Linked DNA regions of Coturnix japonica. The protein of the gene in region 2 interacts with the protein of the main gene of each other region in a pairwise test. Links are inferred from orthologs where the notes say so. Each region holds a gene or a part of one and is shown on either strand. Other genes may lie near its edges.

Region 1 (10,220 bases), on a different chromosome or scaffold from region 2:
CAACCACATCCCTCTCCTCTTTCCCCAGCATTGATGATGGATGACATCATTTCTGATAAGCAACAACACAGATAAAGTTCTGGATGAGATTTAAAAAATCACTGTACCACATAAATGGAAATCCAACCTACACACAAAGCAATACCAGAATGTTTAAGCTAGGTTTATTCATTGAACTGACTAGCATGTTACATCTTATTGGTATAAAAATACTAAATTTGATTTTAAAACAGTACTGAATTATTTGCATTTAAACAGTAATTTCAACTGTGGTATACTTACTATTGGAACAATATAGCAACTCTCACACAAGTCTAAGTAAATTAAATTTTAGATAAATCTTTGTGCTCACCACATTTTAGAGTCCACTACCTTTGTCCCAAAACCAGCATCGATCCCACTATAGGTAAACTGGTGTTCAATTAGAGACACACATTTGTTGGCAGTCAGTAGCTTTGAGGTGTGCATTTTCAGTACATCATCTCTACAAAGCAGTAGGCTGAGTTAAGAATAAAACTTGATCTATGCTAGGTATTGGCACCGTAAGGCATTATTTTAATAATAAAAGAGAAGCTAGCATACCAAAACATGATATACTCCAAAAATGCTTTTGAAGCCCAACTGCATAAACCACTTAGTCATGCTTAACACACAAGCCAAGTGTTCAACTGCTCTGTTGAGCTAAATCAAGTATGCACTTGGAAACAGACAGCCAAGGAAACTACAATAATATGAACTGCATAAGGAATGTGAACAAGAGGGATTGAACAATCAGTACCTAAAGAAAGGACTAGCTTTAAGGGAGAGCCAATCAAGAGACTTCTTCACAGAATTCAGCTGAGATGCCAGACTACATCCCGCAGTTATGTTCTTCTTATTTCATGACACCAAATTCAAAAAAGCAACACAGAAGCAGAAGGTGGCATGTTTCTCAAGAAATTCATAGCTGGATGCTAGAAGTTGACATGATGCATTTGCTTATTCACCAAACACCACACCAAATGTGGTGCAAATCCTGTCACAGACAGGAGGTTAAAGTGAAAAAGGAAAACTGCTCTTACATTCTAATGAAAGAAACAGGGAGTATAAAATGGAACAACTTCACATTATTTTTCCTCTTGCTCCACTGATCAAAACCGTCACCATATTTGGCTGGACACTGCAATGGACTTAGCTAGACCAAAATATTACACCAATTAAGAAGGCCACCCAAATGCCTCTTGTAGAAAACACTTATGTTTTTCATCTGTAAAGTGCTTCTATTCTGTTGAACAAGCACACCTTATTTGGAATCCCTGAACCACAGAATAAATTCACAGCAATTATAAAGCTACTAAAGGTCCTTCAATATGACAGTCCTAAGTAAGATCAGTACAGTTATTGCCATTAACAGCTGTTAGAGTGAGCTGAGATGGATGTTTCTTCTAATGCCTTAGAACAGATCATAGTGGAGAAGTAATAAATTAACTGACAATAGGCACATAAAAAAAGGATATCTGTGAGGATGTTAATTGCCTTGACCATTCTTTCACACTTTTTCTTCACTAACAGCTCTTCCACAGTCTGTTCTGGCATCTGAAGATGATCAAGAAGAACAGGCAGCAAAAGATCCACAAAGTGTTCAGCTGAGGCACTGTTCCCGCTACTAATGACATCCTGTAATAAACAAATTTTATGTCAATATTTAGAACTACAGAATAAGGAAGACAAGCCTACTCTACTTCTTGCATTCAGCTTGTATTCAAGCTTTCCCAGGGCAATTCAGGTTTAAGACATATGATCAGTAACATACTGGAGAAGCAAGTATAACAAATAACACTGAAAAAGCAGAAACACACTTCTATAAGTCCTTGAAAACAAGTATTAAATAGTTTTGTGTCTGCTTCACGAACGGCCAACATAATTTTCAGAAAAAAGATATATTTATAATACAGTCTTCAAAATACATTTTTAATGTGTTTAAAAACAGATGTTTGACAAATTATGGAATTTTAAAAATGTTTCTGGTATATTTTTTACATCCTACTTTTCAGGTAAAACACTAATAAAAGTTTAAAAATCAATCAAAGCAAAAATACAGCACCTCAGAAGTACTTTAAACTCAATCATTAGCATTCGTACCTCAAAAACCTCTTTGAATAGCTGCAGTGCTAGAACTGAACAGTCTTCAGAGCCTTCCAATGGTTGGTTTGACAAATGCACCAATGAAACAGATGGTTCAAAAGTCTTTGAGCGAGTCACAAATCTGGTATTTCCAGAGACTGGCAAGACAGATGGTTCCAGTATTGCCTGTCGCAGGGTATGACGCAGTTCTACCACAGAACAGAAGGCAAGCAGCAGTTCTAAGATCTGTATGAAGTGAATGAAAGAGTTCAAATACTTTTAAACCAATTACTCATACAGAAATTGCAACTCCATAGCACAAATCTAAAGGGATATCTAAGTTATAAACAATTGCTCTTGACATTTTAAAATTCTGTGAAGGATATTTTTCTTTCTTTAAAGTCAAGTCAGCAGCAGAAACACAGTCCATTAGGCCACTGATCAAAAATAAAAAAGAAAAAGGACCAACTGCTCTCTAATAACCTATCAGCTGCAGAAATGCTATTCTGAGATACGGAAAGATAGCCATGAGATGAAGATGAAAGACCCCTCGAAAGCTCCAAGCTCTGTGTCAACTCATTTCTAAATTATAACCAACAGACAACAACAACAACAAAAAAAACCACACACATGGAAACATTAGCTTTCATCATTTACCATGAAGCAAAATGCTTTCATTAGAAAAGTTTAAGATTGTTTAGTCAACATAGATCTTTGAAACATTTTCCGGGCAAGTCCTATTTTAGCATTTAGCACCACGTAGCTGATATTTCAATTACGTAGGGTGGCAGTGAGACAAAGTTGAATGCAGCAGTGAACTGCTTAACCCAACGTGGCATCAAATTGTTCAAATACTGTGGAAGAATGTATTTCTAAGTTTTTAGAACTACCAGGAAACAAACACCAAGCAAAAATTCAAACATATTGTCTTTTGAAAAATTAGACCTAAGCTGATAAACACTGTATGGTCAATAAAGAGTCTTTATATCAGTTTACTTCATTATCAGCCCTCACACACAAGGCATCTACTTATGGCTACAGATGTGGAACTATATTATGAGTTGCATCCTCTTGCTCTTCTGATGAAGAAGTACCTTAGATGATGAATCTGGATCCTTTCCATGAAGGAGATCTAATACCTGACCAAGGCATGAGGTGAAGTGCTCATATCTACAGCACACATGGAAGGAAAGATGGAAAAAAATAGTTTAGAATTTGGTATCAATCTCTAACAGCATTCAAGTAATGAATACCTGTGTCCAGTTTCCTTTTTACCCCCCAACGCTTCAAATAGAGTAATACTTCTGATGGTGTAATTTCAGTGCCATATGAGGTAAATTTTAAAAATATTTTCAGAATTAGAACAAGTATTTTTACTGCTAGAGATCTGGACTGAAGTTTAGCAACTAAGTTCTATTAGTTGAATGTGCAGAACCAGTAGACAAGCATTTTGCATAACTCCGTGGTGACCTGCAGGAAAGTTATTATAACTTTGACAACACTACTGCACTTCAAAATACTGCAGGACTACAAAAAAATACCATGATAGCTATTTCATCAGATTGTCTGACCACCAATACTGAGAATTACTGAACACAATCATTAAGCATTTCTTAAGCAGCAATTACAGAACAGGTTTTGATGTATGGTTCTGTGTAAAACAGGTAACACAAGAATCCTTTAGCTTCAGATACAGCAGTTAATCATGTAGTAACACTCAAGAAGCAGCTGTGAATTTTAATGAAGCCGTACCTGGTAAGATAATCTGCAACTTTGGGGTTTTTCAGGAGATCCATAAGTAGATCAACAGAATATTTTCTTGTTAGAGTACCATCTCCATTTACAACAATATTGAATATTAACTGAAAAGTCTGATGGATATTCCGTGCATGAAAGAGCTGAAAGGAAAAATAAAATTACACATGCAAACGTGTTTTGCTTGCTCAGGTCTCTTGCACATTAAAATTAGCTACAATTATTTTGTGAGTGTGGTCAATAGATTTATTGACAACTTGAAAATAAAAGTGATTTCAAAATATCACTTACTTTTTCTCCTACTTCTTCATTTAAAGTAAGGCTTGATAATATTGAAAGTGCAAATACAACCATAGTCAAACTGCTGTGAGCCAGGAAACTTATTAAGGCACGATAGAAACTCTTCACGTTATTCTAAAATGCAGAGAAGCACAGGTATTACAAATTTTATTTTGTTCTGTAAGAGCACCAAACTTACATATTGCAAATATGTATAAACAAGAGATACAAATAATGAATAATAATAACACAATTCCTTTTTTTCCTCTGCAATTCTTCCAAGGTAAGTAGTACAACATTTGCCATCATGCAGATGAATTTATATTCCTCCACTGAGGAAATAAGCTGTTTGCACTGATGGATGAACAGACAGACTGTGTAGATCAGATATGGATGTGTACTCGAAGATTCAAAGGTCCTGACCTGACATCAAGATCAGTGGTATTTTATGGATTTATCTTTTGAAGAAGCAAATCTCTTTACAGGCCAAAGTTACTGCAGCTTGGAAAAATATATATATATACTACAACGTTTAATTCTTCTAAGGAACAGATATTCAAACTTCAGGTTCACCTTTCACTTGTAGAGAACAGCAGCAGTAACTGAATGCATAATACAAGCCTGTGCAACAACACAGCAACAAGAGAAAACACACAGCTTTCAGTTCTGCTGATTTTTTTCCTTAACATGAGAGAAATATCCACTATCGTTTGACAAAACACTGTACAACAAGGACAGGATTATTACTGCTGCTGCAAAAAAAAAGCTCAAGTAAGTAACTCACTCTTACCCCTACGTCAGAGAGAAACAAAACACTTACCAAAGATTTTATCTGAGTTTGAATAGGTAAGTTGTGACGACAGAGATTTGCCAGAAGTCCTAAACACGGTATTGTTAGCTCATCTTCTGTAGATTGACTTAATAGAGAAAACCAGAGGTTTAAACAAAGATGTTTTCATTTATAGCAGATGCCTTTAATAGTCATTAGACTTGTGCACAATTTGTATTATTCTAGAGAAAACATGCTTACAGTGACAGGGATGATTTTTTTTCCTGGCATTTGTCTTTGTTAGCTCCCCTCCCTGGGGGTGGGCTAAGAAGCCTATTAATATTCAGACACCTACAGTAGCACAGCCACCACATTAATAACCTTTAACAACATGTTTTTCAGAAACATCTCTGGTAACTTCAGAGCAAAAATATCACAGCACCCTCTGCAGACCACGTTAGTGCAATAGGCTCATGGGCTTCAGAAAGGTTAGAAACCTAGCCAGGTATTTCCCATGAGCAAAGATAAGTGAACACAAACTTACACGTGATGCATTAGAAATGAAATCAGCTCATCGATGTTGGCACCAGCGCAAAAGACTGGAACGTTGTAGGTCAGCCTCTGCAGCAACTGAATACTCTGAGGAAATAAAAAGCTATTCACATGCCTTTCCTACAGCATCTCACTGAAGAATGTTAAGTACATAAGGTATTTTCTTGCAGCTGAAGCTGAATAGAGAGATAAAGCACGACAAATTGATTCATTTTCCAGTTGTGATGTTAACATCACAATTAGGCAAGCTGCTGTAAGCACATTGAGTAACATCCTACCACACTGATCTCCACGTACTTAGTAAAAGACCAAACATATTAGCAAGGTTTTATTTTGGCAGAGAGTCAACTTTAGCCCATCCAATTCTCCCCTTTTTCCTCATCAGTCAATTGTCCATTCCGCCAGTGAAAGACCTAGAAGTTTCACCAAAATCCAAAGTATTCTATAGTCTCTAGCAGGAAGTACGTTTATAGTAAAACAGGTGTGTTGTACCATAAGGACTGACAACAGATTTAATGATCTGCGTTGGCGTTGTGATAGGAATGCCACTTGCAACACCAGAGGCCCGGGTTCGAATCCCCCCTGTGGCGCAAGTGGTAGAAGTGTCACACTGCTACACAGGAGGCTCAAATCCCGGGGGTTGGACTTGATGATCTCTAAGGTCCCTTCCAACTCACACCAGACTGTGATACTGTGATAGTACTGTCTTTCATTCAGCATTCTTTTGTCATATAACTTATTTAAATGTGACACAAGTATATTCAGACATGATAAAAACCACAGCATAGCTAAGGATAGCAGCTGAAATCTCACTGTGTAGAATAGCTGACATAAGAGCTTAAGGGGCTTATAAATGGATTTACTTGGTGGCTAGAAAGTCTTCCCCCTTGACTGACAAGTCAAATGGGATTCTTAAAGCTTCTGGAACTTCTAATACTTTGAGAAGTATGCTAAACATCAGAAAAATATTCTATACTGCACTGGATGCTTGACTCATCTTCCCACCGATATTTTGTTTGCCTTACAAAGAAAAGAGATGTGACCACAAATGGCCAGCAAACACATACTGAGAACACAAAGCCACGTATGAGGAAAAAAGAAAGTCCAACTTTGTTGCTGAGCGCACAGAAATTATAGGTGCAAGTTGGTGAAATTGGACTGGGAGATGTTGCATATTCACTGAAAATAAATACAATGAAAAACAGAATGAAAAATAAGCTTCCAAGCCCTCAACTGGTAGTTTCACACAGTAGAAGCTTCTAGTTTAAAAATATTTCTCTTTTTTCTCTAAATGAATTAGAAGAGGTAAGAAGTACAAGCAATATTACAGACAGAATACACAGAACTCTGCAGTGCTAAAATCCTGTCATGCTAGATTCACACAGTAAATAAAACAACCAGCTTGTTTCAACTATTAAGCATTAGTTCCTGTTACCTGTAATAAGACTGGATCACTAAGATTAGTAGAACTTCGATGAACCACTCCTGCCAGCACATTGGTCAGACTGTAGGTGTCCCGAAGAGCTTCTCTTGTCTCATTGTCTGAAGCTAGAATTTAAGAATTATTGAAGAATAAACCACCAACCCACAATCCTCTGCAACAGCAAAACTAATTATTGTATTAGTGACTGATCTAAGCATAACCTAAAGCCTTTCATCAGTTTTCCACATATACTTCACTATTATAAATCACAGCTCCTACACACTTGAATCTCCACCTCAATTCTGAGCTCACAGTCTGTTGAAACACTAAGACTTTTCCTTGAGATGTTTGGACAATGACAAAGTTTCAACTACAAAGTTTCAACTTAATTTGAAATCTTGAGAAGCTTTAAAGCTCGAAATCAATGAACTTAGTTTCCTTCTGCATGCTAAGATAGGCAAGCAGACTAAAACTGATTGCTTGATAAGGTTATCTAGCAATAGTAATACAAAAAAAAACCTGTTCTGCTTAAACAGTCATGGAAAAGACACAGCAAACAAGGAAGAAAGATAAAACAATAGAACAATTGGAGGATAACTGATTCTTAAAGTTCTCCAAATCCAAAAGGTTGGATTACGAACCCCAACAACGTATTATTTTACAGTAATCATTTCAAAAATTTAAAAAAGAGAAGATAAACAACAAGTCATCCTAAGCAACTTGAATCTCAAAGAACCACCCACATCTACCAAGAAAGCCTAAGCTGAGAGATAAGAGAATTTTTTCCACGTACACATAACTTACATATGCAGTTATGGTGAGCACAGAGCTCCATAGATAAATGAAGAAGTCACACTTCTATGAAAGAAAATCAACCCCAACAAACAAATGAAAAGCTCTAGAATCTATTTTCAACCTGGGAGATTTGAAGCACATGGGTCTAGAGCAATTCTAATAAATACAAAACACTGTCGTTTCACAATAATGACTTCAAATCTGTTTTGAACAGTGGTTTAACACCTTATCTGATCTTGTATGCATTGTCTGGTGGGCCAGGCAAGCACTTCAAAAGCTATACATTTTTCATACTTCTGGTTTTTCCAAGAAGTTCATCACACATGCCACAGAATCAACATCTGTCTTCTCTTTCTCAGATCCAAGATTAATGTTATAGTGCAAACCTTACCCAGCTGTGATAGTAAAGTCACCAAAGACAATGTCAGAGAAGGATCTATATTCGCATCCTCAAGGAGTTCTACCAGGCAATTAAGACATTCACTTGGGAGAATCTGGTTGGAAGCAAATAATCTTGTAAGCTTCAGTCCTGAGATAACCTGGAGATAAAAGGAGAAAAAAAAACCTCAATTACTTAACTGCTACTGAGTATTCATTATACAAAGCGTATTTAATAGTACAAAGTGATATTACATAGATTTTTGCCAAATCTGACAGAATGAGAACATAACTGTCAATCTAGTACGACGCTCAGGTTTGTATTGTGTAAATTTAAACATAAAAAATAAACAAAAAACAAACTAGGTCCTACTCCTCTGTATGCATCTCTGGTACATACCTGTGGTACTCAGTTTGATTCAATAACCTGTTTTCTGAAGAACTGGACTGAAATACAAAGGTTTCATTCTGCTTGAAGATCAGTGGTAACAGATTGTGCTGTTTAGTGAGAATTCTACAATTACAATGAAAAATGGAACCTTGAGTTAAAGGAAAGCCCATTTAAGGGGATAGTAAAAGTGACAGACTTGCACAGCAACATAACTGGACTTTTGTTATATATGCATGATAGAACAATGTAATTTTTTTTCCCCCATATCCTCCCTGTACTTTTCTACAATAGATGAAGTTAATCACAGAATCACTGAGGCTGGAAAAGATTACAAATGGTAGATCCTGCTTGTTAAACCTGATTTCATTCTATGAAAAGGTGACCCGCTTAGTGGATGAGGGTAAGGCTGTTGACGTGGTCTTCCTGGACTTCAGTAAAGCCTTTGACACTGTCCCCCACAACATCCTCATGGAGAAGCTGGCTGCCAGAGTTTGGATGGGTGTTCGCTCTGCTAGGTGAAACACTGGCTGGATGGCCAGGCCCAGACAGTTGTGGTCAATGGAGTTAAATCCAGCTGGCTGTTGGTCACAAGTGGTGTCCCCAGTGCCTCAGTACTGCAGCCACTTCTATTTAACATCTTTATTAGTGATCTTGATGAGGAGATTGAATGCGCCCTCAGTAAGAATGCAGATTACACCAAGTTAGGAGGGAGTGTTGATCTGCTGGAGTGTAGAAAGGCACTACAGAGGGACCTGGATAGACTGAATCAGTGGGTCAAGGTAAACCATAAGAGTTTCAGTAGGGCCAAGTGTCAGATCCTGCATTTTGGTCACAGCAACCCCAGGCAACCCTGCAGGCTTGGGGGGGAGTGGCTGGAAAGCTGCCTGGAAGGAAGGGACCTTGACATACGGATGGACAGTCAGCTGAATATGAGCCAGCAGTGTGCCCAGGTGGCCAAGAAGGCCAGTAGCATCCTGGCTTGTATCAGGAATGGTGTGGTGAGCAGGACTAGGGAAGTCATCCTGCCCTTGTGCTCGGCTTTAGTGAGGTCCCACCCTGAATACTGTGTTTAGTTTTGGGTACCTCAATACAGAAGTGACATTGAGGTGCTGTAGCAGGTCCAAAGAAGGGCAACAAAGCTTGTGAAGAGCTTGGAGAATGTGCCATACAAGGAGCAACTGAAGGAACTGGGATTGCTTAGTCTGGGGAAAAGGAGGCTGAGGAGAAACCTTATTGCTCTCTTCAAATACATGAAAGATGATTGCAGTGAGAGTAGGGTGGGTCTCTTCTCACTGGTGACAGGACAAGGGGAAATAGCCTCAAGTTCTGCAAGGGTAAGTTCAGGCTGGATATCAGGAAAAACTTCTTTACAGAAAGGGTAGTTAAGCACTGGAATGGGCTCCCCAGGGAGGTGGTTGAGTCAGCACCTCTGAATGTGTTTAAAAACTATTTGGATGTGGTGTTCAGGGAACTGATTTAGTGGAGGGTTGTTAGAGTTCAGGAAAGATCTAAGCTGTTTCTCCCTCCTCCGCCCCGCAGGAGAGGACCCCAACAGGCGGTTTATCAGTCTCCACCCGCTGAGCCGAGGGGAAGGCCGCGGCCGAGAGGCTGAGCCGGCCGAACCCAAAGCAATTCCAGAGCACAGACCGACCGCCACGGAGCGGAGCCAGCCGCGGCCGGGCACTGAGGAGCGCCGAGAGGAGCCGCTCACACACCGACACACGAGAGAACGAACAACGCGCTCAACCCGTCTCTCCGACCAAGCCGCTCCGTTC
Region 2 (10,220 bases):
TTCTCTTTTGATATTTTTTCTTGGGGCAAAACCAAGAGGAAATACTATAAGTAAGTCCACTACTGGCATGACCATCCACAGCAACGGCATTCTTACCAAGTGGTGTTTTCCCTACAACACACAGACAAGGTGTGCTAAGCATCTCAAAGTACTTATACAATGCTGTCCCTAAACCAAATCATTAACAGCACTGGTAACCAAAGAGATTGTCCCTATGAATATTACTGTAACCTTATTTTAATCTCAGGACAAATTAGAACTGAAATTCAAAGCTTTTAATTTCTGCTGTGAGGATGAAAAAAAACCATAAATACAAATATATAAAAATGTACAAACTAAAAGCACAGAACTTTCTCAGTGCATTCGGGATCGCTTGACTCTGCTCATTTCTCCTGGCGCTTTTCTTTTCTGGGATAATCCAGTCCCAAGTTCTTTGCTGTTCTGGAAGCAAGACTGAGCTTCTGGCAGCCAGTAAGACTCCATTGGGGGAGGTGGATCCTTCAATAGAGGAAGGAGAAAAAAAGTTGCTTAGCTCAAGGAGGATCTTCTGGGAATAAAGAAATTGCTTAGTTGTTTTCTAGGATTAATCAAACGAACATTGCACATGCACATCTTGAATATTTTTTGCAAGCTCCCTGCTCTGGCAGAGGCTCCTCGTGACCTGCTGGAGGTGAGAGGCCTGCCCCATCCTGCCTGCACAGCACACACCTGGATGAGGAAGTCTGCTATGTACTCTGGCTTTAAGCAGTTCACTCCCTGGGCTGCCGCCTCTGCTACGTTCACCCTGGTGTCAGATGGCTTCAGCTTACTGAAGTCAGCAAAGAGATGAGTTGCTTCTTTGAAGAAAGACACAGAATGACCAGAAAACACCTACAGATTAAAACACGAGAGACAAAAACTATTAATTTTAGTGTTTCTTCCCTATGGAAGAAACATGCAGCTCATGACCTATAAATTCACACTCAACTATCAAACCAACACAAAATACTATTTACTGTGTATTCTGTACCATCTTTACCTTTCAAGATCCTCTCATCAGAGCAGGGCCCACAAATTCTGTGCTCAGCAGTCTGACAGTTTTGGCTAGGACCTACTGCTGGCATGGACAATACCCAGCACTGAGTTTAAGAAATTATACCAATGCCTTAAAAATTAACAACACTCAACAAAACAACAACAGAAGATAAGAAAAACCCAATAGTAATGGGTAACTTTTTTTTCCCCGGAGAGCTACATACTTTGGCTCCTCCTGACTGAAGAAGGCGTCGGAATCCTGCTTCCTTGGTGTGATCAACATTCAGGATCACTTTCCAGCCACTGAAAGCTCCCTAGATAAAAGACTCCATTTAGCCATAATGATGTTGACACTACAAAAGCACAGACTTCACAGACCCCTCACTTGCCTCCTTTGGGAGTAGCTATCAGACAAACATTTGCAGTCACCTGGTTTTGTCCTTCTACATTGTAAAAGGCAGAAAAAAAGCACAGTATAAAACTATCAGGCCTACTATCAGGTTACCTAACTAACTAGAAGATATCCAGCTAAGCCATTTTGTTCTTAGTAAGACAAATTCACTTTTCCTGACAGAGAAATTTCTGGGTTTCTCAGTGACAAATCCCATCTTGGCCATCCACACTGTACACATTATATCCAACACACATCTCAGTACCTCAGTAATTCCAGTTTCTTGCCTTCCTTTATGAATTTTTTTCCTCCACCTCATGGCTGCGAGCGCTAGCTTCTTCTGGTTTACATTGATTCCAGGCAAAACGTTAAGTATGGAATCACTTCCCCACTCATAATCTTCTTCCTAGAATAATCATAGGCATGAATTACAGAGAAGTCTTGTCAATTTTATTAGCAGAAAGATTAGTACTAAAAAAACACATCCAGAACAAATCACAAATCAGTCTAGATTTATGCATCTATTTTATCTGAGCAAAACAGCTCTTGATAAAGTTAGAGATATGTCTCTTAAATGCATGTAATTATGCCCATGCATAAAAACTCTCCACAGTTTTAAATCAACTCCTGTTTTCTGTAACAGTAATGCACATCATATACAATCAAGCTATTCTTGTGGTTATCAGCAGTGGAATTCAACAGTACTGCAAAGCCACTTCGGACATTTTTGAAGAGGGTGCTCAAAACGCACAGGTTTATGGGGTTGGAATCTTTAAAGCTTTGCTGATGTATAGAAAAATTAAGAGTTAATTCCTGGCGTACGAGATCTGTGACCTCAAGATGAATAACTAGTGAAAAATTAACAAGAGATATTCAAGCTTCAATTTCCAGAAACACCAATGAAGTACAGGTATTTCATTTGTCCTGTGCTAGGACAAGTTTGGTCAGGAACCTGTTTTCAGAGACGAGCTTGCCAAAAGTTCCTGAGATACCCTAAAAACCCCAAGGTTGCTTTTGAGAAGTTGTTTTCCAGTAAAATAAAAAGAGACATTAAAAAAAAGCGCAACATTCTAGTTCCTCAGTAACGAGGTTACATGCCTGAACAAAGCAGCCAGCTCCTCTACACGCCTCCAGGTAGGAACGATGAAGCACCCACTTTCCAGCTGCCATCGAGGCCAGGAATTTCTCATTTCGAAGAGGATGTCCCACAACAATGTGTGTGCAACTTGGATCAAAGCACTGTTTCTCAAGCACTATTCCACCTTGGAATTGAGGATTTAATATGATTCAAGTTATTTAGAGTTCAGGCTGTACCACAAAAAAGAAATCACACAAAGTGAGAATTATTTGAATTTAAAACAAAGAAAAAAAAAGAAAATCTCAGATTTACACTGAAAATATTTTTTAATTGATAAGGGAGAAGCTGGCAAGGAAAGAGGAGCTCTGGGAAAAGAAAACAAGTGGTAGTATAACAGAGACATGAATGGGAGACACCAGAAGACAGCAGACCCTAGACACTCCTGACAGTAAAGAATGGGGCTGTTGTGGAGACAGCTAAAAGAAACTGCCAGAATACAAAACCATTGCTGTTTTATAGCAAAGCTGATCACTCACATAATAATAATATATTCAAGGAATTGCTTGCAAGCACAGAAAACCATAAATCTGAGAGCTCCAATCTGACAATTCATTAACAGAAGCCCTTTCTTTTCCCAGAGAGCTACAGCTGACCAGCTTATAACACACACTATGCCATGCATTTCACAAATATCTGGTACCTAATTCCTCAATCAGATGGCAGTAGTCAAATCTTTCTTGAGGATTAAGAGAAGACAGCTGAAATTTACGGCATTTTTCTGGTTCTTCATCTACCTTCTCATTTTCTGTAGCAGCCTGAAAATACAGCAACAGATTTTGGAAATATTACAGAAAGATTAGTTTGACAGCTGATTATTTCCCTGTGAGCAATTCTGGGTTATTTTTATGTTAAGTTTTCTTTTAGCATGGAAAAGAAGAACCAAATCTGTCAATCACTTGACAAAAGCTGGATCTTATCAAATCAGCATTAAATTCCTGCTTAACATCCTCTCGGTTCCCCCCTTTTTTTAGGGCAGAAGTGAACAAATCTGTCATAAAAACTAATCCATATTCACTGAATGCCAAGCTGAACACATGAAATAACCATCATCCCTCTATCACACTACCTCATCCATTCAGGCTTTCTTTAACTCCCAAGGCCCACTATATATTTCCACCACAGCTTATTCAGTAACATGACACTGCAGCCCTCTGAAGAGACACAGTCGGTGCTGGAAGTTGGAACATCAAATGAGACAATGAAGGCAAAAACCTAAACTCATCTTCCTAGTTGCTTTCAAGTTCACTATATGTTAAATTTCTGAACCAGATTTTTGTCCAGAACAAAAATATTCAGTTGGTATTTAAGCCTAAATTCCAAACACCATCTGCAAAATACAGGTATAACTTTTTTTCTATCATCCTAACGTGGCTTGAGTTCCCCCTCCTGCTTATAAGCACCCATAAAGTAGTAGAAGGCTGCAAGGAGGTCTCCCTGGAGCCTTCTCTTCTCCAGGCTAAACAAGACCAGCTACTTCAGCCTATCTTCATAAGAGAGGTGCTTCAGACCTCTGATCGCCTTCATGGCCTCCTTAGGACCTGCTCTGACACTTCCATGTCTTTTCTGTGCAGGGGGCCCCAGGTCTATACGAAATACTCCAGACGGGGCCTCAGAAGGGCAGAGAGGAACAATCATCTCCCTCGTCCTTCTGGCCACCAGGATACAGATGGTATCCCAGGCTGCAAGCACACACTGCTAGCTCACGTACAGCTTTTCATCCACCAGGATCCCCAACTCCTTCTCCATAGGGCTCTTCTCAGCTCATTTCACGTGGATGCTGTTGCCACTGCTGAAATGCACCATCCACTAACTCACTGTGCTCACATCCACTGTTTGGTCTCCATAAACATTCAGTAAGCAGTGCTGAATGTCAATGGGTGCCATTTTTTCCACATGGAGGAATTTAATGCCCCACTTTCTCTTCAGATGCACTTGCATGTCAGACACCGTTTTGCCAGACCGCCCCCCTGCTGCCATCTGTCACACAGCAACAACATGTAATGAAATACTATTGAAAACATTTAATCCCTACTGCCATACCACTGACATCTGCCTCTCATGGGCGAACACAATAACACAGGAGGCATTACTTTCAGAGCAGCCCTTAAAGTATAGCTACACTTTTAGAACACATACAATCATGAGCATTTCTTCAAATGTCAAACCTTTTCTTTGGGCTGCGGTGCCACAGGAGGGTTAGCCAGTGGGAATGCAATGCTGGGAGCCTGCGGAGTGGGGATCAAGTGATCTTTAATGGGTGTTTCAGGATCTCTACATACAGGATTCTTCAAATCTTCAATCGTATCTCCATCCCCAGCCTCAGGAACAACTGAGGAAGTAAAACACTGTTACAGGATTTGTCCTTAGACAAATATAATTATGGACAAAGTACAAAAGTAGTTATCCTAAATAGCTGCTACAACATGCACAGTTAACATGTCAATATTGCCCTTCTTAAAAGGTGCTCTTCCTTATACCACAGACCACTGACTGAACCTTGCAGGCCATCTCCCTGGATGCCCTGTTTTGAAAAGCAGAAAAACCTCAAATGACCTGATTTCTTTTGCTAAATGCACTTACGCAGTTAAACAAAACAAAACAAACAAAATCAACTGAACTTATTTAGCTAATTTTCTTCCTAGCAGAAGATTAAGACTTCATAAATAATAGGGAAGATGAACATAGTATTTTGACTAAATCATAATGGAAACAAATTCATAAGTAGCTCTCAGATACTATTTTTGGCGCTCACAAGTATCTTCTTCCTGCTCCTTCATTCTTTACCTACTAACATTAAAAAAATTCTGCTACTAGCATTCCAATTTGAATTCCACTGTATCTACGTGACCTGTCTGCTTTGGTGTTTGACCACAGATGAAATCCCAACACTGTTCACTCTTTAAGTATGTCTGAAGTAAAATCTAAGCATCACCGTATTTTAAAATCTCCAAGGATAAACCCGATGTTGTAAGAAAAATGGTATTTCATTTCTGACTTTATTTTACCTATACCAGCAATCTCTGCATCAGGTATAGATCCTTTGAAGGTAGACTCATCCATGTTCCTGTTGACATTACTCTGAGCTTGCTCTGTGAAGGAAGGACTGTTAGGCCACTGAAAGTTGCTAACAAGTCTCGCTCTCTCCTCCCTCGCTGTAGGATCATCCCAGATGATCTGCTCACTCTGGGATGGCTCCGTGTTGATATCTGTGAGAGCCTGACGAGATTGCCTGAGAGAAAAAGCAGAGATACCTTAAATACTCCTTTGTTTTACAGAAGACTACCATACTAGAAGGTAACATTTTAAAAATCACATCAACCATAACATCCAAGTGACGTTATTAGAAAGCGTGTCCAGAAAAGTGGAAGCCTTCAGTATGAAAGCAACTTTGGCAATCTGCCTTTGTGGGTTTAAGGGTCAGCATGGCTGAAAAAAGGCAACCATAACATTAAGTAGGAGATATTTTCACCACTTGTCATGCTGATGAATTATTTCATAATCAGTGCACTCTACCCTTTACTGAACCTTTTAATTTGAAGACAAACACCCAACTAAAGGAATGACTTTGAAAGATTTTGATTACATTCTCACTGGAGCAACTCAGCACTGCTGGAACTAAAATCCTATTCACCATGATTACACAGAGAGAAATGAAGAAATGATAAATATTCACCAAGAACTTCATAGGAACAACTACTATTTGTATGTGACCAAGGTACTGAAATATTGCAGCACTGTTTTCTTCAAATATCTCTAACAACACTAACTAATCCGAAGACAAATTAGTTGGTTAGCACAATTCATTTCAAATTTAAAATACAATTCTATTCTACTATTTTTTGAAAAGCAAATATACTCATTTATACATAACTGTAGGATTAAGATTATACTCTGATTTTATCTAGCAGGTCTTGTTAAAGATTCTGAATTACAAGCAAATGAAGTATATCAGAACAGAAAGACAATACAACTGAAAACCCTGGAGATCTACTCATGTTTCAGTGATTGTCTGAGTAGAGAGGGTAAGACAAGATACACTGAAAACTGATACCTTAGAGCTTCCAAGGCCCTGCTGCGGCCATTTCGCACAGACCGGGCACTATCAGGAGTGGCTGGAGAACTATCAAAACTGTTCCTTGAAAGAGATCCTCTTTGTCCTTGTGGTTTCACTATTGATGTCGCAGACATGATCTCCTGCAGCTGCCTCTGGAAGCTCTCCCTCATTTCTAGTGCCTGGGTTAAAACTTCAAGAGAATAAACAAAGTCCACAAGATCAAGATTACTATAATAGGTGAAAAGTACAGCCATTAAAGTTAATTTCCCTCCCCTGTATCAGGGAGGAAGATTATCTAATCAAACAGGGAAAGACTATCTATGAGAATGAAGTATGACTGAAATCACCCATTTCTTGTCATAAGCAGGAATTCCCATTTGGATCACTTCTGAAATTGTACACACGATCTACCTTATATTCCACAACTCTCCTGTAACACACTTCTTTACATAACACAAAAATGTATACAATACTGATATTCTGTGCTAGAAATCAAACTTTGGTGTTTAAAAATAATAAAAAGAAATAGCAACTAAGTAATTTGTAATGGATTAGCCTAGTTTTGTAATAGACTGGCAAGATCTTTAAACTAGAGAGCAAAACCTCTCCCTCATACTGAGCAACAGCAACTAGCTGTATTTGACTGGTAAATAAATAACAGTACCTAAAGCTTTCACATCTTAACATTCAGCACCTGAAACTGTAGAAGACTTACACAGGCAGTTTGACATTATGTGACTATTCTGAGAACAGGAATTTATATTTACCTCCCTTGGATTCACTTGTTCCAGCGTGCTCCTCCCCTGTGCCAACTGTTTCCTTCACTTGGTCAGTAGTTAAATCATCTGCAGCATCATCTTCATCCACTGGAATAATCTAAAGCCGACAAAGACACGTAGAATACCACTTTGTTTATTTTTACCTTTGTTCAACGCTTGTGAAAATTCTGATGAAGAATAATCTCGCTTTAGAATAAATTAATCTTTATGCCACCACAATGACAGTAAAACAATGAACAATAGCATTAATGACAACACCTACTCTGCAGTCTATAGGTCTACTAAGTAAAGCTTGGATCTCTTGTTCACTTAAACAAGAAGGTAAAGAATGGGCTATGCTATTTCAGATGTGGAAAGCACTTCTAATCCTGAAATGTCTGTGTCTGCCTCTATTGTCCTAGAAGAGGATTACAAATGCAAGAAAAGCATGAAAGAGTATCTGCAATAGCTACTGTTAATTACTAGTGAAATCTGCTTCAGAGTATCACTGAATAAAGAAACAATTTCACTTATTACATTAAACATAACAGCCATGTGAACTGAATTCCCATGATGTCATAGAACATGAATTTCTATCACACACTATACCTCATTTTCTTCTGCTGGATTTCCAGTTGCTGGAAGCTTACTGGAAGAGGAGGGCCTGAAATCTTGCACCGCACTGATGTCCAGGCTCATTTTGGGATTGTAAGTGTGAGGAAAGAGAGATTCAGGAAGCTGTTTATATTCTTGGGCACACTGTAACAATATTAGTTAATATAAGAAAGATGAGAAACTGGATGAAAATTAATACAAGTTCCATATCTAAGCATATGAAAACGATCACAGAAAGATGTAGTTTACACAAGAGAAAAGTGCAGCTCTCATTCTGGGAAACATGTAGCAGAACTGCTGAATGAAAGAGAATTTCTTTTTGCCTTACAGAGTACAAGGTAAATGCATGCTAGTGAAATTTGTTCAACTCCTACGTTCAAAGCAGAATATAAAACATCAATTCCTATGTTCAATGTAAATTCCAACAGAAAATCAACTGCTATCTAATGAGTTTTAAGCTTTCTTTTCTGTTCATCTCTAGTATGAAGAGAAGAAAAAAACCAAGCTTCATACCTGTAAAAGCCAGTGTTCTGAAACAATATGTATTCCTCGTTCTTTAACAGATCTATATTCCTTGTTGCTGTCATTTTGTCCTCCCTTGTAGATGAAGTGTGTTACTGTTTCATCAAAACACCATCTAGAAAATAAAATGAAATACAACTTGAGGATATAATTATCTATCAAAAAGAATCAGCAGCTGATCCTAGAAATAATACCTACACTCTGATGAAGAAAGTGGGCTCATTATTTATTTAGTCATAACAAAAGACAGACAGCTTTCAGCTTCAGGACAGAATGCTTTCAATCTCTTTAAAAGCATTCCTGAAGTAAACAAGACTTAGTCTGACAAAGGTGTAAAGGAGAGTTAGGGATTTTGATTTGCTGTTACTTTTTGTTTTATCCAAGTAAATGAAGTTCCAAATCAGATCCTAAAAATAAGTGTGACAAGTTTATTATATGTTTTTCTTTTACTGACGTATTCTGATAAAAATACATAAACTAATAAAAATTAACATTTGTTATCTAAAGGAAATAGTCTGTAGTTCCTCTCAGTAACAGAAGCTGAAAAGAATAGGTTGTAATCACAAAACATAGTCACATTCACTACTTAAACATAAATCATTTAAGACAGTAAAACCTGAAGTTCAGCTACAGCAGAAGGTCCCCATAGATGAGGGTACTAAAATGCTAACATTCATATTTATTTCAGTTCCCATCAGGGCAGAAGCTTCAAAGTTTTCTTTTTTTTGTCTGATACCTGTAGTCTGCACCAAGAGAAGCTGCCACAGCGTTCAGTTCACTTTGCTTCTTACTAAGTTTTTTACTAACACATATAACAACACCAGCTAGAGGCTTGGACTCTTCTTCCTATTCAAGTAGGTGAAGAAAAAAAATCATGTTTAGAAAGCTTTTGTATGACTTACAGTAATATTTAAGTATTTAGTGTATTATGTGATCATATTTGTAATAACAGGAAAAGGAAAACTTTTTTTTTTCTGCTTTTGATATGTCCAATGTCCACATCAAAAGAGAGCGCAACTGTCCTTCCAAGCACTAGGGATCCAAAGACAAAAGATTCACTGAGCCATATTGTGCTTTTTTCATCACAGACTGACCGCTTCCCTGACCACCAAAATGAAGGAATTATCAAACCTGATACCACAAAAGCATTTCACTCTACCAGAGTGAAAAGGGAAAGAGTTCAGAAACTACACAATAAGAAATAACAACCTTCCCTTACTGAATGCCATTAGTTTCTTCCCCTCCTTCATAGTATATTGTGCAACAACATGAGAAGCAGTACACACACACTCGTTTCTCTCACTTCTTTTTCTGTTTTCTCTTATTAGAGTAGATTAGGCTGGAACTCTAACTTAAGTCAAACATAAAATATTTAATCCTGCCCATCAAGAGTCTAGGAGTTTCTAAATTGTTATAAAACCCTCCCATCCTAATGCTATGAAAACTGAATGGTCACAGCTCTATAAACCACGCTGCTTAGCAACTCCTTAGTATTTGGGATGGCAGTACAGACAGGAGAGAAAGACTGTTAAATTTTTGCTTGCTGCCTTATCTTGCGTTATTCATCTTTGAAGATGCAAAATCATACAGATTTTTACACAATGCACAAGCTCCTTTATAGCTTAACTCACAAAAGTTACAGCATTTTCTTAATCAACCTATGTTCCAACAGCTCATAACCAAGATCTCCTACCGCTTCTGGCTGTGCAGCCTTCAGCTGAGGGCTGG

Evidence for each region. The genes of interacting proteins can lie anywhere in the genome.
Region 1: the proteins of TOPBP1 (region 2) and CIP2A interact in a two-hybrid assay, tested with the Homo sapiens proteins (2 studies listed by BioGRID). The link is inferred for Coturnix japonica from reciprocal best matches to the Homo sapiens genes TOPBP1 and CIP2A.

The regions. Positions count from the first base shown.
Region 1 is NC_029516.1:78,514,900-78,525,119, forward strand, and holds part of CIP2A (protein CIP2A), read right to left. Parts: intron 8,216-10,220; coding exon 8,068-8,215; intron 7,007-8,067; coding exon 6,894-7,006; intron 5,546-6,893; coding exon 5,451-5,545; intron 5,055-5,450; coding exon 4,958-5,054; intron 4,273-4,957; coding exon 4,150-4,272; intron 4,002-4,149; coding exon 3,856-4,001; intron 3,274-3,855; coding exon 3,198-3,273; intron 2,350-3,197; coding exon 2,122-2,349; intron 1,657-2,121; coding exon 1,497-1,656; intron 495-1,496; coding exon 353-494; intron 1-352.
Region 2 is NC_029517.1:39,219,959-39,230,178, forward strand, and holds the end of TOPBP1 (DNA topoisomerase 2-binding protein 1), read right to left. Parts: coding exon 10,186-10,220; intron 9,339-10,185; coding exon 9,229-9,338; intron 8,608-9,228; coding exon 8,484-8,607; intron 8,115-8,483; coding exon 7,965-8,114; intron 7,474-7,964; coding exon 7,365-7,473; intron 6,788-7,364; coding exon 6,595-6,787; intron 5,773-6,594; coding exon 5,549-5,772; intron 4,873-5,548; coding exon 4,709-4,872; intron 3,299-4,708; coding exon 3,184-3,298; intron 2,668-3,183; coding exon 2,504-2,667; intron 1,812-2,503; coding exon 1,671-1,811; intron 1,329-1,670; coding exon 1,239-1,328; intron 871-1,238; coding exon 709-870; intron 499-708; coding exon 355-498; 3' UTR 258-354; downstream 1-257. UniProt on the Homo sapiens protein: Scaffold protein that acts as a key protein-protein adapter in DNA replication and DNA repair. Composed of multiple BRCT domains, which specifically recognize and bind phosphorylated proteins, bringing proteins together into functional combinations.